2 linked regions of the Arabidopsis thaliana genome follow. The protein of the gene in region 1 interacts with the protein of each later gene in a pairwise test. Each region holds a gene or a part of one and is shown on either strand. Other genes may lie near its edges.

Region 1 (7,271 bases):
TTGAGGATTGAACAAAAAGTAAATTTGCAGACAGAAGAGACAGTCGACGCAGACAAGAACGGGCCCAGAGGAATAATCAGTGCAATTGGTATATCAATTCTGTTTGGATGGGGTTATATATTGGGCATAAGCTATGCCGTCACAGACATACCTTCTCTTCTGAGTGAGACCAACAACTCTGGTGGGTATGCCATTGCTGAGATCTTCTACTTAGCTTTCAAGAATAGGTTTGGGAGCGGTACTGGTGGAATCGTGTGCTTAGGCGTTGTTGCGGTTGCTGTGTTTTTCTGTGGCATGAGCTCTGTCACCAGCAATTCCAGGTATATATATACATTCATGTTTGGTTAAAACATATTCTGTCTGCATTTAGGACTTGATCATATGTGTGTTTGGTTAATCAGGATGGCGTATGCGTTTTCGAGAGATGGAGCGATGCCAATGTCGCCGTTATGGCACAAAGTGAACAGCAGAGAGGTCCCCATTAATGCGGTTTGGCTCTCTGCTCTCATATCATTTTGTATGGCCCTCACCGTAAGTCCCCTTCTCTCTTTCTGTGTATCTCTCTTTTGTGTGTTGGGATTGCTGATTGATGAGATGAAACTGGCAGTCACTGGGGAGCATAGTGGCGTTCCAAGCAATGGTGTCGATCGCAACGATTGGACTGTACATAGCATACGCAATCCCGATTATATTGAGAGTGACGCTTGCGCGCAACACCTTCGTACCTGGACCATTCAGCCTGGGAAAATACGGAATGGTAGTCGGGTGGGTGGCAGTCCTGTGGGTTGTAACCATATCAGTCCTCTTCTCCTTACCCGTGGCATATCCCATAACAGCAGAGACACTCAACTACACTCCGGTGGCAGTTGCTGGTTTGGTGGCCATAACCCTCTCATATTGGCTTTTCAGTGCCCGCCACTGGTTTACGGGTCCCATCTCCAACATTCTTAGCTGAAACAACGTTTCAGGGGTTGATTTATAGTAAAGCCATTGTTAGCTAGCTGATATTTACCCTTTTATACATTCAACAAGCAACAACACATCTGTCACATTTTTATTTCATCGCCACAACTTTAAACTTTAAAGCGAATGGAATAATAATCAACACAAAGTGTTGGCATGGGCCTCGACGAAGCCCATTTAAGGAAACTACGTGACGAGTTAAAAAAAAAAAAGTAATCGCTAGAAGGAGGGGTCGAACCTCCGACCTTGTGGTTAACAGCCACACGCTCTAACCAACTGAGCTATTCCAGCATTTTGATTATCTGAATTAGCTAAATATTTTAGAATTCGTTAGGAATACTGCCAAAACGGACCTCAATCCTCAAAAGGATATGGTACACATTGTTTACGAAACTAGAGCATATTCTTATTCGCAAATAGAAATGTTAAATGATTAACTGAGTCTTATTCATATTGTATTATAATGTGTTAACTGTTAGTTGAGCATATGTTCAGAAACACCTTGTAATACTGTATTGATCGCTTAGTACAACTTTATTCAAGTTGAAATGTGGGTGTTATCATGGGCGGATCTATAGAAAACGAAAACTATTTAGCGGAGCTACAACTAGTTACTAAAAGATTGGACGAATTTGCAACTCACATTACTACATATAGGATATTTTTGATAAACTTTAGACACAGACAGTCTTTACAATAACAAAATTAATACAAGTGTAGTTTGTTACCAAATGAGGTGCTATGATATTTTCTTGTAGAATTTCGACACAATAAATAGTGTTACCTACCTTTTAACGTCAATAGCAATAATGCAAAGTGTGGAAACCAGAACAAAGTCCATAGTGTAAAGCTTCAAGATTGTCTAGAATGCAAAATTAAATAGTAGTAGGCTTTGTCAAATATACTACAAAAAGATTTACCAGCCAAGGAGGAATACATGAAGCTTAATTTGATTCTTTTCATACTAAGAATTTACAGAGTGGAAATCTGAAAAACAAAAGGACCTCTCTTCCGATCTGAGATTCCTCAAAAACATAGCTAAATATAGAAGGTTATATATATAGATATATAAGAAGAATCAATCTTCTGTAGTAAGAAATAAGAATCTTCTCCTAAAAAGGAAAGAGGAGAAGGAAGATAAATAAAAAAGCATCCTCCCTCCATCTTCTTCTCTCTTGCTTTCTTCTTTCTTCTTTCTTCACATAAAAATCAATGAGATGATGCAGTAGAGGTAGAGCGAAGAGGGAAGGCTGAGATCGACGCATCACTGCCATGTCCCTGATGATGATGAGGTAGCAATGGAGATCTACAGAGCGGGCAATTGAAGTTGAGATGTTGAAGCCAGCCTTCCAAACACTGCTTATGGAAGACGTGTCTGCAATCTAGCTTCCTCACTTCTTCTCCGGTCTTGAGTTTAGACAGACACACGATGCAGTCAGAGGCTGCGTTGTCGGAGTAGCGGTACGAGAAGAGGCGATTTAGGTTGAGCTGGTCGGCGAGGACGCTGAGGTTTGAAGTAACAACAACAACGGGGGCAGAAGAAGGGAAGAGGAGAAGAGACCGGACGTGTCTGAAGAAAGTTGCGAGGAGAGCCAGTAGCATCAGTGGGATCGAATCTGATGACACGTCGGAGAGCTGACCTTGTAGTCCCATTGATATGGTTTTAGAGATTGTTTTTGTTACTTTGGTTCTTGTTGTTGTTCTTGCTGCATATACTACCTTGCATCTCATCTCTTTCTTCTTCTTTATATGGATGGAGAAGAAGAAGAAATGACACAGGCCACGTGTTGTGGGACCCATTATTTTGCTTTTGGTTAAGCCCTTTCACTTTCAGTCCTTTTCGTTTTTTCCCATCTTCATACTTTTCGCCCCGCTATTTGCATTTTATGATGAATATGACCCAAAACATTTCACTTTTCTTTATTCTCACCCACATTTTCGGTTTATTGGAAAGAGATACTAAAGTCAAAATTGAATGACTCTAAAATGTTGTTGGATGCTGATTTCATATCTCTATCTAAGCTCCTTTCTATCTCCAAAGACCAAACAAAATTTTACAGAGGCCTTCAATCATTGAGCTTTAGAACCTAAAGAAGAAAAACACTGAATCATCATAATGATCTTTCATGATCGCATCTATTCCTTTGTGTCGCGCTTCTTCTTGTGATAGATATTATTAGCAATTTAGCATGCCCAATGTTTAGTCCTAAGATCATGGCTCATATCATTCATTTTAATTACTATTAATATGTTTCACTTATTAATGCCCCACAAATATAACATGATAGTAAATAATTAAGTCTTTGAATGGATGTTGTGGTTAGTGCAGATTAATCCGTTAGCGGTTCAGTCCATACTAATTTTAGATCGAACAACAATCCGCTGCAAATTTAATTTAAAGACGGTTCGTAGTTAGTCCACAACAATTTTTATTTTTTATTTTTTGGAATCCGCACTATTACATAATATAATTTATAAATAGTAAATAAAACACGATTTGGTATATAGACATTTTTGTCTTCTTAAACCGCTATAACCATTCAAAGTCTAAGTTTTAGTTATTTTCTTGTCGATTACTCATATATATTGATCAGTTTTCAGAATTTCCCAACATGGAAAAAGTATCAATTGTCGACCTTTGTTATATTATTTACAAATCCCCCAGCTAGCTAGTTAAATAGTATGTTTCAATTATTTTACTCATTCATAGTTTCATTTAATTATATGATATACTTAAGTGTAGAACATTGGAGAAGCATTTTTGGAATATAAAAAGGAAGTGGGCGGTTTGTGATTAATTCTTAATTAACAACTGACAGGGAACCAACTAATTAAATTATCCATCCTTTGTGAGAGATTGTTTAATATATAAAGCAATTCATAATTTGTGAACTTGACCAAGATTTTAGCACGATCCTCGCTTCGCTTCTTGTCTCCCTTGTGACGCATATCTAATATAAACATAAATTCATTATGTATCATGTATGTATGATCTTAGTTCTATATTGACGCAAGAAAATTCAAGTATTTGTTCACTTCGTGCTACCTATGAATGTACATAAATTTTTTTTAAAAAAATATTTGTTACTAACGATCATATAAGATAGTATTAAGTTATTCAGAAAACATAATTAAAATAGAAATTGAAGGTGTAGGTGTGTGGTTTAGTCATCGATATAGCCAACCAGTGACAACCACCTCGACTCTCTTTGACCTAATTATTTGACCACTCCTTCCACTTTACATCATAAAATCTGAAACCACTTACCATCTCTCGTCACATAGCTAGCAGACGATCGTCTTCATTATGTGGTTGTGACTCTCATTCTAATGTAATCCTGGTAAAAATAGCATGCGAGTGTCTTATCGATCCTCGTTGTTTATATGATTAAATCATTTATTATAAAATAAACAAAACACAACTAATATTTTTTGCATTAAAAATTTAAAATATTTTAGGAGGAGTGATTGTTTCGACGAAAATATATTTTATATAGTATGAACATGAATGAGTAAAAGGTAACTCATTTTGGTGTGTGTGTCAAATTTTGATTTTAAGTTTTTTTTGTTTGTTTGTTAAGTGTATCAACGAATCTCTAGTTCTAGCTTTGATACCAACTGAAGTAGCGGAAGTTTTAATGGATAGAACTAGACATCCGTTGATTCCTCGGAATACCAGAAAACTAGAATTTTTTGGATCTGTTGATTCCTCAGAATAACAGAAACGAGAGAACGTAAGGAATTCGTTGATTCTCTTCGAATACCGAATCCTACATCTTTTTATAACCGTTGAAATCTTTCAAGATCTACCGAAAGCAAGGAATTAGAGAATACTCTTCTCTGAAAAGGTAAAAGCTTAATTTTATTAATCAATTAACTGAATACAATTTTAAGTTCAAAAGTCTTAATTATAATAAATCCAAAATTTTAGAAAATTCATAAAACAATAAATAAAAATTATCTAAATAATTAAATAAAAATATGAGGAAATAATAAAGACAATTTGAAATTATCCAAATATATACTGCATTAGGTAGCATGCGGCTTGCAAGACTATAGTATTTGTTTTAGAAACTATAGGTCTATTAGCTAGACAGAATTAAGAGCTATAGAAAAGTTGTTAAAATTGATAATGCGATGCTTTTTCACATAACTCAAGAAAACCAAATCAAGTTCCGATCCATCATTGTTTGTCGACCAAGGGATGATCAGTCGATAGGTCCACGTACGTTGTTGTTTAAATGAAAATAGTTAACATGGATGTAAATTTAATAAGTAAACAATGAAAATGACAAATGAAGTAGAGAAGATGGAGAAAACAGGACCAAGGGCTTGTAAAAGAATTGCCAAATAAACAACAACGTGGTCCTATCACCTTCTGCTTCTCCCTACGCACCAACCAGTCAACCATACTCAATAGGTTTCATTACAAGACAAATAACACACTCTCTTTTGTCTTTTCTCTTTTTTCGAATGGGAAACACTGACTAGCTTTGTTTGTATATTTAAATCGTTTCTAACAGAGAGAGCGTGGCGAAGTGTGAACACAAACACCTAGAAAGATCTGAGAGTCAATTCTTCTGGGTGACATATGCATGTGAACTGTATGAAGACGCGTTTTGGGGTTTATCGTTTAAAAATCATTAGATATGTGACTGACCAAAGTGTTAATCAAAGATCTGCACCAACACCTTTTACATATACTATATTCTAATACGTAGAGGCAGCGTAGAACACTCTAGAAGAAGTACTAGGTGAATTATGATCGATATGCCATTCATCTGAGAGCAGAGAATGGAACTTTACGCATGTTTAATTAAAACAACTTTCAAACTTGTCTTAAAATATGAAAATTACTAGTTCCTACTCTGATTAAGATAAGATTGGCATTATATTCATATTCTTGTACCTAATATATAATTGAAGCACTTGAACATATTTAGTCATATAGTCTTGAATTTTGTTGTTGTTTTTCCCTTTTTTTGTGGGGTCAAACTGAGTTGCTGTAAATTTGAACATACATATGAATATGCATTTAAATTGTGGCCAACAGTTTTAGAAAACTGTTATCAAATCAAAGATACTTTAAAAATACAAAAAAGTAGTGTAAGATACAAGAAAGAAAAAGTTGCCACTTTCTCATGTCGCATATATATAACGTTTCTCGGAACTTGCATTTTCTCTCTTCTTGTTTACACCTTCCTCGCCTGTTACGAGTAACACCAATATTTGGACTTATTGGATGGTTGCCTTAATAAAAAGGAAAAAAAAAAAGAAAAAGACCCAAGAACACCAAAGCTGTCGTGGGCTCTTATTGTTTATCTGAAACTAAGCCCTATTACTATTGGGCCCAAAAATCAATTACGTAAAAGAGTTTGCCTGTTATATAAGTTGTTTACTATTGTGGCCCAACAGATAAAAAAGGGAATATCCGGCCCATTCTCTTTCATCACACTCCTTGAAGAGGTGATAGGTCATGTAATTTGATTAATTAAGAAAAACGATTGAGTTAGACGAAGAGGCAATGGTAGGAGAAGGATAGTTTGGGTAGACGAAACGGTAGAGTTTTGGTTATTCTCAGATTCTTGTTGTTGAGAGACTGATGAACTACTAGAAAAAATTACCAGTATCTCCCTCAAGGTTAAAAGCGTCATTTACGGTAAATTGGGGAATAAAATGGTAAAGAGAAGGAGGCTTTTTGGTGGTGGGAGTAGGTGATGCCAAAGTAGACGACTACTAATAGTAGTAAACAAAACCTTTGGCTTTAACACTCTCCTCCAAATCCCAGATCTCTCTCTGTCTCTGTCCCGCGGAGTCCCCGAGAGATTGATCACCATCACTTTTGTACCTTCCTTGTACTACCTATGGCGTCTGCTAGCTTCGTTAAGCCTAACACCCTCTCTTCTCCATGGATCGGCCAACGCTCCTTTGCTCACACCTCTGCTTCTTCTTCTCCTCCTCCTCGAGTCTCCTTCGCGATCCGCGCCGGTGCTTACTCCGACGAGCTTGTTAAAACCGCCGTGAGTATCCTCCTTATCCTCTCTCTCTCTTTGATGCTTTATTAGTTTGGATTCGTTTCCGTAATTCTCAAAGTCAAACGTAGAGTGAGATTCTCTGATTATTGCGTAATAGAAAAGCATTGCATCCCCTGGGAGAGGTATCTTGGCGATCGATGAGTCCAATGCAACCTGTGGGAAGAGGCTTGCTTCTATCGGCTTGGATAACACCGAGGACAACCGTCAGGCCTACAGGCAACTTCTGCTTACCACTCCTGGCCTCGGCGATTACATCTCTGGTTCCATTCTCTT
Region 2 (7,751 bases), on another chromosome or scaffold:
TCTTGGATTCCAAGAACATGAAGCCCGGAGATAAGCTTTTTGATCATATCAACAACGCGATTCTCACTTCTAAAGTCGCTGTAACGGTTTTTTCTCCTAACTACTGCGATTCATATTTCTGTCTGCACGAGCTTGCTCTTATAATGGAGTCCAGAAAAAGGGTCATACCGATATTCTGCGACATCAAACCTTCACAACTCGATGTTATGATCGAGAGGGTGACATGTTCTGATGATGAAATCCAAAGGTTTAGATGGGCCCTTCAAGAAGCTAAAGATATCGTTGGACTCACGTTTGATTCCTACAAAGGGTAATTTATTTTTTCTATCAAATCTTTTTATTAACTATCTCTGTTTTATTATTATTGTACTTTTGTTTATTCAGTTTCTGATTTAACTCAACATTCATTTATTTAGGAATTTATCGGAGGTTGTTACAGTTGCATCGGATGTTATCGTCGAGAGATTGGTCGAGTTAGAGGCTAAAGATGAAAATCTATAGGCGTTGGAAAACATTTAATTAACTCCAAACTAAATGCTTCTCTAAATATTTGTTTTTCTAATCCTACGAGTAATTCATTTAATTGATTTTATTCATGCATATATATCTCAAGTCTCAACATACATATATCAATGGTTGACAGAATTGAGGCAACAACTTCTTTCCTTTTTGAGGGTTTATTATTTGTAGATTTTTCTTGTTTATAAGTGGCAAGTAATTTCTTTGTAAGTTCAGATATATAAAATAACATTTTCTCTTTCTAATACCGAAAGTTGTTTAGTCTTTTACACCGAAAGTTGTTTGTTTGTTTTCAACATCACATTTCCAAAATCATTTTAATTTATTGTCATCTCCAGACTCTTAAATAAAAACGATATATGTGTGCATAGAAATACATAGACCTTTTTAACAGGTGCATGGGTAATTTGAATAGTCAAACATGGTTCCTATTGAAATACCTATATTTTATATAATAAAGTTTAAATATACACATAAATAAATAATTAATGGTTATAACTTATAACTATATTAAATAAATAAAAACACTGTCCACATTAAACATATGTCCAATACAACTTTTAAACAAAATCTAAACATAGTTTGAGATGACCCTAAACAAATACATTATGATATCCATATATTCTCAACGAGTAAAATAGTAAATGATGAGTGTTAATGTCAAGAGCTTGTTTCGTGGGCTTAAAAAGAAAAAGAGCTTGTATTGTGGGGGTTGGCAAACGTATTTTTGCGTCGATATCTAGTCTCACTTGTGAAAATTTAATGTGTCTAAAGTGGGTTTGGGCTTAAAAAAAAACCCATCATATTTAACATTGTTCTTCAAGCAGTATGGGGAGTCAAAAAAACCAACTCAACACAAATCAAATCGAACAGTTCCACCGAATTTGATATTTTTTTAAAGTTCACATTCACACCTTTAAATAGAAGCTGGTGATACATTTCCTAAGGAAGTGATTACCAGAATATCCCACTCACTTTTTTCTTTGTTTTAAGTTCCGAGAATAGTCTTCAACTATTATTATCAAGTAATGTTTAACTTTCTATTATTTAAAAATAAACTAAAATTTTTTAGCATCTACTTACTGATAAACGTAGTCACCAGTCATATTAGTTCTTTGATAGAAACGTACTTTAGTGTTTTGAGACGAGATTTTTTTTCGAAGGACCACTATATTATTTGTTTCGAGTTTAAAATATTTTCTAACTAATGCTAGAGAGTAGTCAAGCCAATCCAAAGTAAGTTATCTTTCAAAACTCTGCTTAATTTGTTTATTAACTAAATCAGATTCTGTAAACTTTTTTGTACCATGGTGGATTTAAATTTCAGCTGATAATTTTAAATGTTACGGAAAAAAATTCTGGATCAGTTTTAAATAATAAAAGAAAAAAAAATACGAATACATTTAACAAATATATGTCATCGAGTAAGATAACCTAAACTTTCGGATACACACACGTGTAAAAACAAAAGTACTTTGTTCAAATTCCAAGAAATTATTAACTGGAGAAAAACAAAACAAAGGATAGCGAAAATGTTATAGATAAGGCAAATTAAAAACCAATCTTTGACTACCCATTCGTTGTCATTTGATTAAATGATAAAATATAAATCATTGATTTAAAATGAGAGATAGAGGTAAAACAAAATATAGAAAAGTAGCATCAAATGGCTGTTAGCACGAAAACTATTGAGTGAAAGAAACCCTAAATCTTTAAGTTCCACTATAGAATTAGATAACGATCATAATATAGTGATATATTTGATATCTCGTCTCTGTGACTCCGTCTAATCTTTTGAAATGATGTCCTCTTCCTCACTTCACTTCATCAAAAAAAAAAATGTCATATATATGTATGCTTAAACTTTCATAAAAAATTTAATGATTTCAGTAAAATGTTCTAGGGTTAGATTATATTATAATATAAATTTCAAGAAAAATTCATTCGTAAATTTTTTTCATTTATGAAATACCACAACTGCATGAAAACTAATCAATGGATAAATACAGACAAAAAAAATTACATCAATACGTGATCTTATAAAACAAAATCTGAATATATGTATAGGGTCTATAGCTAATTTCAATTTCGATTATATTATATGCAAACTTGATGTGGATTACTTATTTTTCGGTTAAGATGTTTTATCTATGGTGGATTTACATAAAACTCAACAAATAATTTTGCTAAGTCCTTAAATTAGTTAGACATATTGGTGAAACCGACACTAAAAATGTAGATAAAAATATTAATTTATACATTATCCAACAAGGATTTTATCCAAATCGTGGTATCTATGTGATCTAATGGTTATAAGTGGAATTTAGGTGTTCTAAACATGCTCAATTAGTCAATTATATACTTCACTTTCCAACTCAAAACAGCATATTCCGAGCGAACAATATGGATTTTTATACTATAACACCCAATTTCTAAATTAAACAAAAATTGCGACCATTATATATGGTTCTATCTTTTAAAAACCATGGAACTAAATGATGAAACTATGAAGTTTTTTTTTCACAAAAAAAAAAAAGAAACTATGAAGTTTTTTACCCTATATTTTTTTTAAAAAAGATACTATGAAGCTTTGAAGCAGCTACTACGAGTTGTGTTTGTTAATGTTTCTGAAAACAAAAATAAATTGAAAAAATCTTTAGTCAACATCAACTCGTGTTTTTTCTCTTCTCCCATCGTTATAACGTCTTTTTGACAAATGACAAATTGCGCCTAACTTCTACGATAGACACGTGGACACGTGTCGTCATGATGTAGTTTTGTCCGTATGGAAAACGCTTTCCATGTTGTAACCTAAGATACATTGAACAGTTCCTTTGTCCTTTCAACTTCGCTTTTTTCGAAGCTCTTTCCCTTACCCTACCACAACATTACGCGTGTCCTTCTTATTACAACATTTGGCACATATACATTTCAGAAAACCCGTCAACAAAAAACACGTGAAATAAAATATCTCTTCCTTTACCAGTTCACATATTTCATGGTTACTGTTCAATCATTTCGCCAAAAAATCTTTTTTTTTTTGGGTACAAATTTGGCCAAATAATTGTTCCTTTATTCTGAAATTCAGTCCCCTACACGAATATATAGACCACCAAAAAGTACATGGACGGTTCAATGTTGATTAAATCGACCAAGATAAAGTCAATAATGTTTTGTGGTTTAGATGTCGTCTGGTTACTATATTGACAATAAACTTTGTAAATAAAAAATATCCTTAAAAAAAAAAAAAAAATCCTAAAAGGAAAATCGAAAATCATTTTTTTAATTTGTTTTACATTACTTAAATAATTAAATAGACAATCCTAGGAAAAAAATCTCGATTAAATTAAATATTATATGTGAACTCCAAATGTCTAAGCAGCAAATTTCCAAACATTCATTTGAATCTTATTTTGATTGGAAAATACTTTTAAATTTAGCGGAACATTATTGATAAATAGATGAATAAACAAATGTTAATAAAAAAAACCATTTAAAAAAAATAGTACGAGGAAGAGCTAAATCTACTCATGTAGGTTCAATGAACTCAAGGGATTGCATAAATCACGACGATCTAACTGACACACGTGTCAGAATTCAAAAGTGTTTATAGATAAACACAAAAATGGGTCCCATATTCAGTACACACGTTAATCAGCGGCGGTGGATTCACCTATACACTGCGTCCATATATAAGTAGCACGAGACCCAAACATTATTGTCAAAAATAAGAAAGAAAGAAAAAAATATGGGTATCCAAGAAACTGACCCGTTAACGCAATTGAGTTTACCACCGGGTTTCCGATTTTACCCGACCGATGAAGAGCTTATGGTTCAATATCTCTGTAGAAAAGCAGCTGGTTACGATTTCTCTCTTCAGCTCATCGCCGAAATAGATCTTTACAAATTCGATCCATGGGTTTTACCAAGTAAGTATATACTAATTGAAACCCTTCTCAAAAAATGTTTATTTTTCTTAACAGAGATTCATAATTTTCTTGGTTTTTCTTCTTTTGTGATTTATAGATAAAGCATTATTTGGAGAAAAAGAATGGTATTTTTTTAGTCCTAGGGATAGAAAATATCCAAACGGGTCAAGACCTAACCGGGTTGCCGGATCGGGTTATTGGAAAGCTACGGGTACGGATAAAATAATCTCGACGGAAGGACAAAGAGTTGGTATTAAAAAAGCTTTGGTGTTTTACATCGGAAAAGCTCCTAAAGGTACTAAAACCAATTGGATCATGCATGAGTATCGTCTCATTGAACCTTCTCGTAGAAACGGAAGCACTAAGGTAACAAATAAAATCTAAACATTAATAAATACTATATCTTATATTTTCTTCTTGTAGTGTTTTGAATGACCTATAATTAATATTCTTGTTAATTTTCTTTAGTTGGATGATTGGGTTCTATGTCGAATATACAAGAAGCAATCAAGTGCACAAAAACAAGTTTACGATAATGGAATCGCGAATGCTAGAGAATTCAGCAACAACGGTACTTCGTCCACGACGTCGTCTTCTTCTCACTTTGAAGACGTTCTTGATTCGTTTCATCAAGAGATCGACAACAGAAATTTCCAGTTTTCTAACCCAAACCGCATCTCGTCGCTCAGACCGGACTTAACCGAACAGAAAACCGGGTTCCACGGTCTTGCGGATACTTCTAACTTCGATTGGGCTAGTTTTGCCGGTAATGTTGAGCATAATAACTCGGTACCGGAACTCGGAATGAGTCATGTTGTTCCTAATCTCGAGTACAACTGTGGCTACCTGAAGACGGAGGAGGAAGTCGAGAGCAGTCACGGGTTTAATAACTCGGGCGAGTTAGCTCAAAAGGGTTATGGTGTTGACTCGTTTGGGTATTCGGGGCAAGTTGGTGGGTTTGGGTTTATGTGATGATGAAATGCTGACGCAATAAAAATAAGTCGTTAATTTTTGTCCCGTGGCAAATCTTATATGTATTTGAATTTCAATTCTTTTGGGTTAAGAGGGAGACTCATAGATTTAGATGTAGATTTGTAATCTTTCATGCATAGAAAATTTGACGAATAGATTTCGTAACTTTATTTTGTTGCTGTTTGGTTATCTTTGTATTGGTATAAATTTAGTGGATTGAAATTGCATATTGATATATTGTTTAGTTGTGGCTAGCTATACATGTAAGTTTAATTGTTTGAGCTATCCAAAAGAATATATTTAACTATCTCATGCATTTTTAATATAAGCATACGTTATGTAATCATAAACCTACATACAAATCTTTTCTGTTTACGAATATATAGTAACACACCACAAATTGAGAGACTTACTGTATATACTGTATTTGAAAAAGGAGCGTTGGGTTAGCTGAACTTAGGTGTGTAACGTGGGCTTGCTTGTTTGACCATCTTGACAAGAGATTGTAGAGAAACAGTTTATACCGTACAAGTTTCAAACACATGTTTATTGTGGGTCGACTAAATGCGTTTGCAATTAGGGTATGAATGATAAGAGTAAAACACGGAATACTCGATTTTTTAACTGTACCTAGGAAAATCCGACCTAATAGTTTAAATTTAATTTCTGACATGAATCATGTAAAAGTTTAAGAACATCTCTAATAAAGAGTTTTCAAAACATTAAAATAACGAAATAAAGAATTGAAAGTACCAAAAATAACCATTTAGTTCAAAAGAGGATGAGAATACTCAAAAAGGGTTTTAAACTATTCGAGATGTTCTTATTTTGATTTAGAGTGCGCGTTAACACAATCTCTAGTACACATTAGCCACATTGTTACTGAATATATGTGGTTCGCTGATCATACAATATAATTCTATCTCCTTCCTTTTTCTGTATCCTCCATGACCATTACTGCTTTTCAGAAGCTTTGACCATCCTTTGAGATATGTCTATTTTCTGATATTTACCAAATAACAAAGTGGATCGTCTTGACGAAAGCCCAAAAATTAATTATCTCTGTTTTTTTCTCCTCTAATAAACTAGTCTTCTTCCGTCGAGTCATGCACTCATACTGATAATATCATTATTTGAGTGTGGGAAATCTTCGGGAGGAGAAACTCATATTTGTCTTTCCTTAGACCTTGTTGATTTTGTTGATGTGAGAGGTAAACGACACCCGGAAAATGGTCGAATGAACGGATTTTTTTACAAACATCTACATGACCTTCACTTGGTTCGTTCTCTATTAGTCGAATAACATGACATACATGCATCATAATTAAAAACACACAACAATTGTATTTATTTTGTATTTACAAGTTCCATTAAAAATTTAGATACTCAGATTTGTGGAATGTAAAATTCCAATAGCAAACTAGTGTATTGATTGGCCCATGGGCCAAATGCCCAAATATTAATTTTCCATCTATTTGGTCATTACTCAAAAAAACCTCTAATTAAGGTGTAACTCAGAAGAAGGAATATATAATTGCATTCTTTAAAAAAAAAATCATCTAACTAAGGTTAAGAGTTATAAATTTGAATAAAAAGACATTCAATACAGAAACGTGGAGGTTCGTAGTCACATATTGTCGCCAAATAAAAAAAGACAGTACATACAGTTTTTGTGAATTTACTAATCAAATATAGAACTTGTGTCGGGTTTTAAGCGGATCATGTTTTATAATTATAGAATTGTAATGTGTTATTGGTTATATTATATAAATTTCCGTTATACCTAGCTATAAAAATTAGATATAATCTTAATATTCTTTTCTAGACTTCATGTCTAGCTAAAATTTTAAACTGAAGAATAATCCTTACACGATTTATAATTTGAAATGGAGGAAGCATAAATACAAACAAAAATGTTTCCAAATATAAATTTAACAACAACAACACACACAAAAAGGGTTTTGGCTTTAAATACACGAGGGGTTTGTATTTATTAATAAATTGTGGCTAGACTTCAAAGCAAACGCAATATCTTAAATCATAACAATGACATTTGTGATTAGAATAAAAATACATTTAACCGAGACATAAATTTTTATTTGTTTGGTGGTATTTGCACATGCGTGATCTACGAGTGGTTCGAAAAGCTCACTAATTATAGATGACAAAGCAGATAATTAAGGAGCGGTCCTTAATCACTTTCCTAAACAAGCTTTAAAACAAGGCTCGATTAGTAAAAGCAAACGACTACAAGAATCCAGCCTTTTTTTTTTTACGGAAAATATTTAATTAACTCTGGACATAATTACTGTAACTTGCTATACTCAATAC

Evidence for each region. The genes of interacting proteins can lie anywhere in the genome.
Region 2: the proteins of RHA2B (region 1) and NAC019 interact in a two-hybrid assay, tested with the Arabidopsis thaliana proteins (one study listed by BioGRID).

What each region holds. Positions count from the first base shown.
Region 1 is NC_003071.7:96,048-103,318, reverse strand, and holds RHA2B (RING-H2 finger protein 2B), read right to left. Parts: upstream 2,836-7,271; 5' UTR 2,764-2,835; coding exon 2,173-2,763; 3' UTR 1,795-2,172; downstream 1-1,794. Other genes in the region: BAT1 (bidirectional amino acid transporter 1), read left to right, coding at 31-320, 402-531, 608-955; PDE345 (Aldolase superfamily protein), read left to right, coding at 6,828-6,983, 7,096-7,271. UniProt on the Arabidopsis thaliana protein: E3 ubiquitin-protein ligase involved in the positive regulation of abscisic acid (ABA) signaling and responses to salt and osmotic stresses during seed germination and early seedling development.
Region 2 is NC_003070.9:19,694,961-19,702,711, reverse strand, and holds NAC019 (NAC domain containing protein 19), read left to right. Parts: upstream 1-4,229; 5' UTR 4,230-4,267; coding exon 4,268-4,448; intron 4,449-4,545; coding exon 4,546-4,814; intron 4,815-4,916; coding exon 4,917-5,420; 3' UTR 5,421-5,789; downstream 5,790-7,751. Other genes in the region: AT1G52900 (Toll-Interleukin-Resistance (TIR) domain family protein), read left to right, coding at 1-310, 417-501. UniProt on the Arabidopsis thaliana protein: Transcription factors that bind specifically to the 5'-CATGTG-3' motif.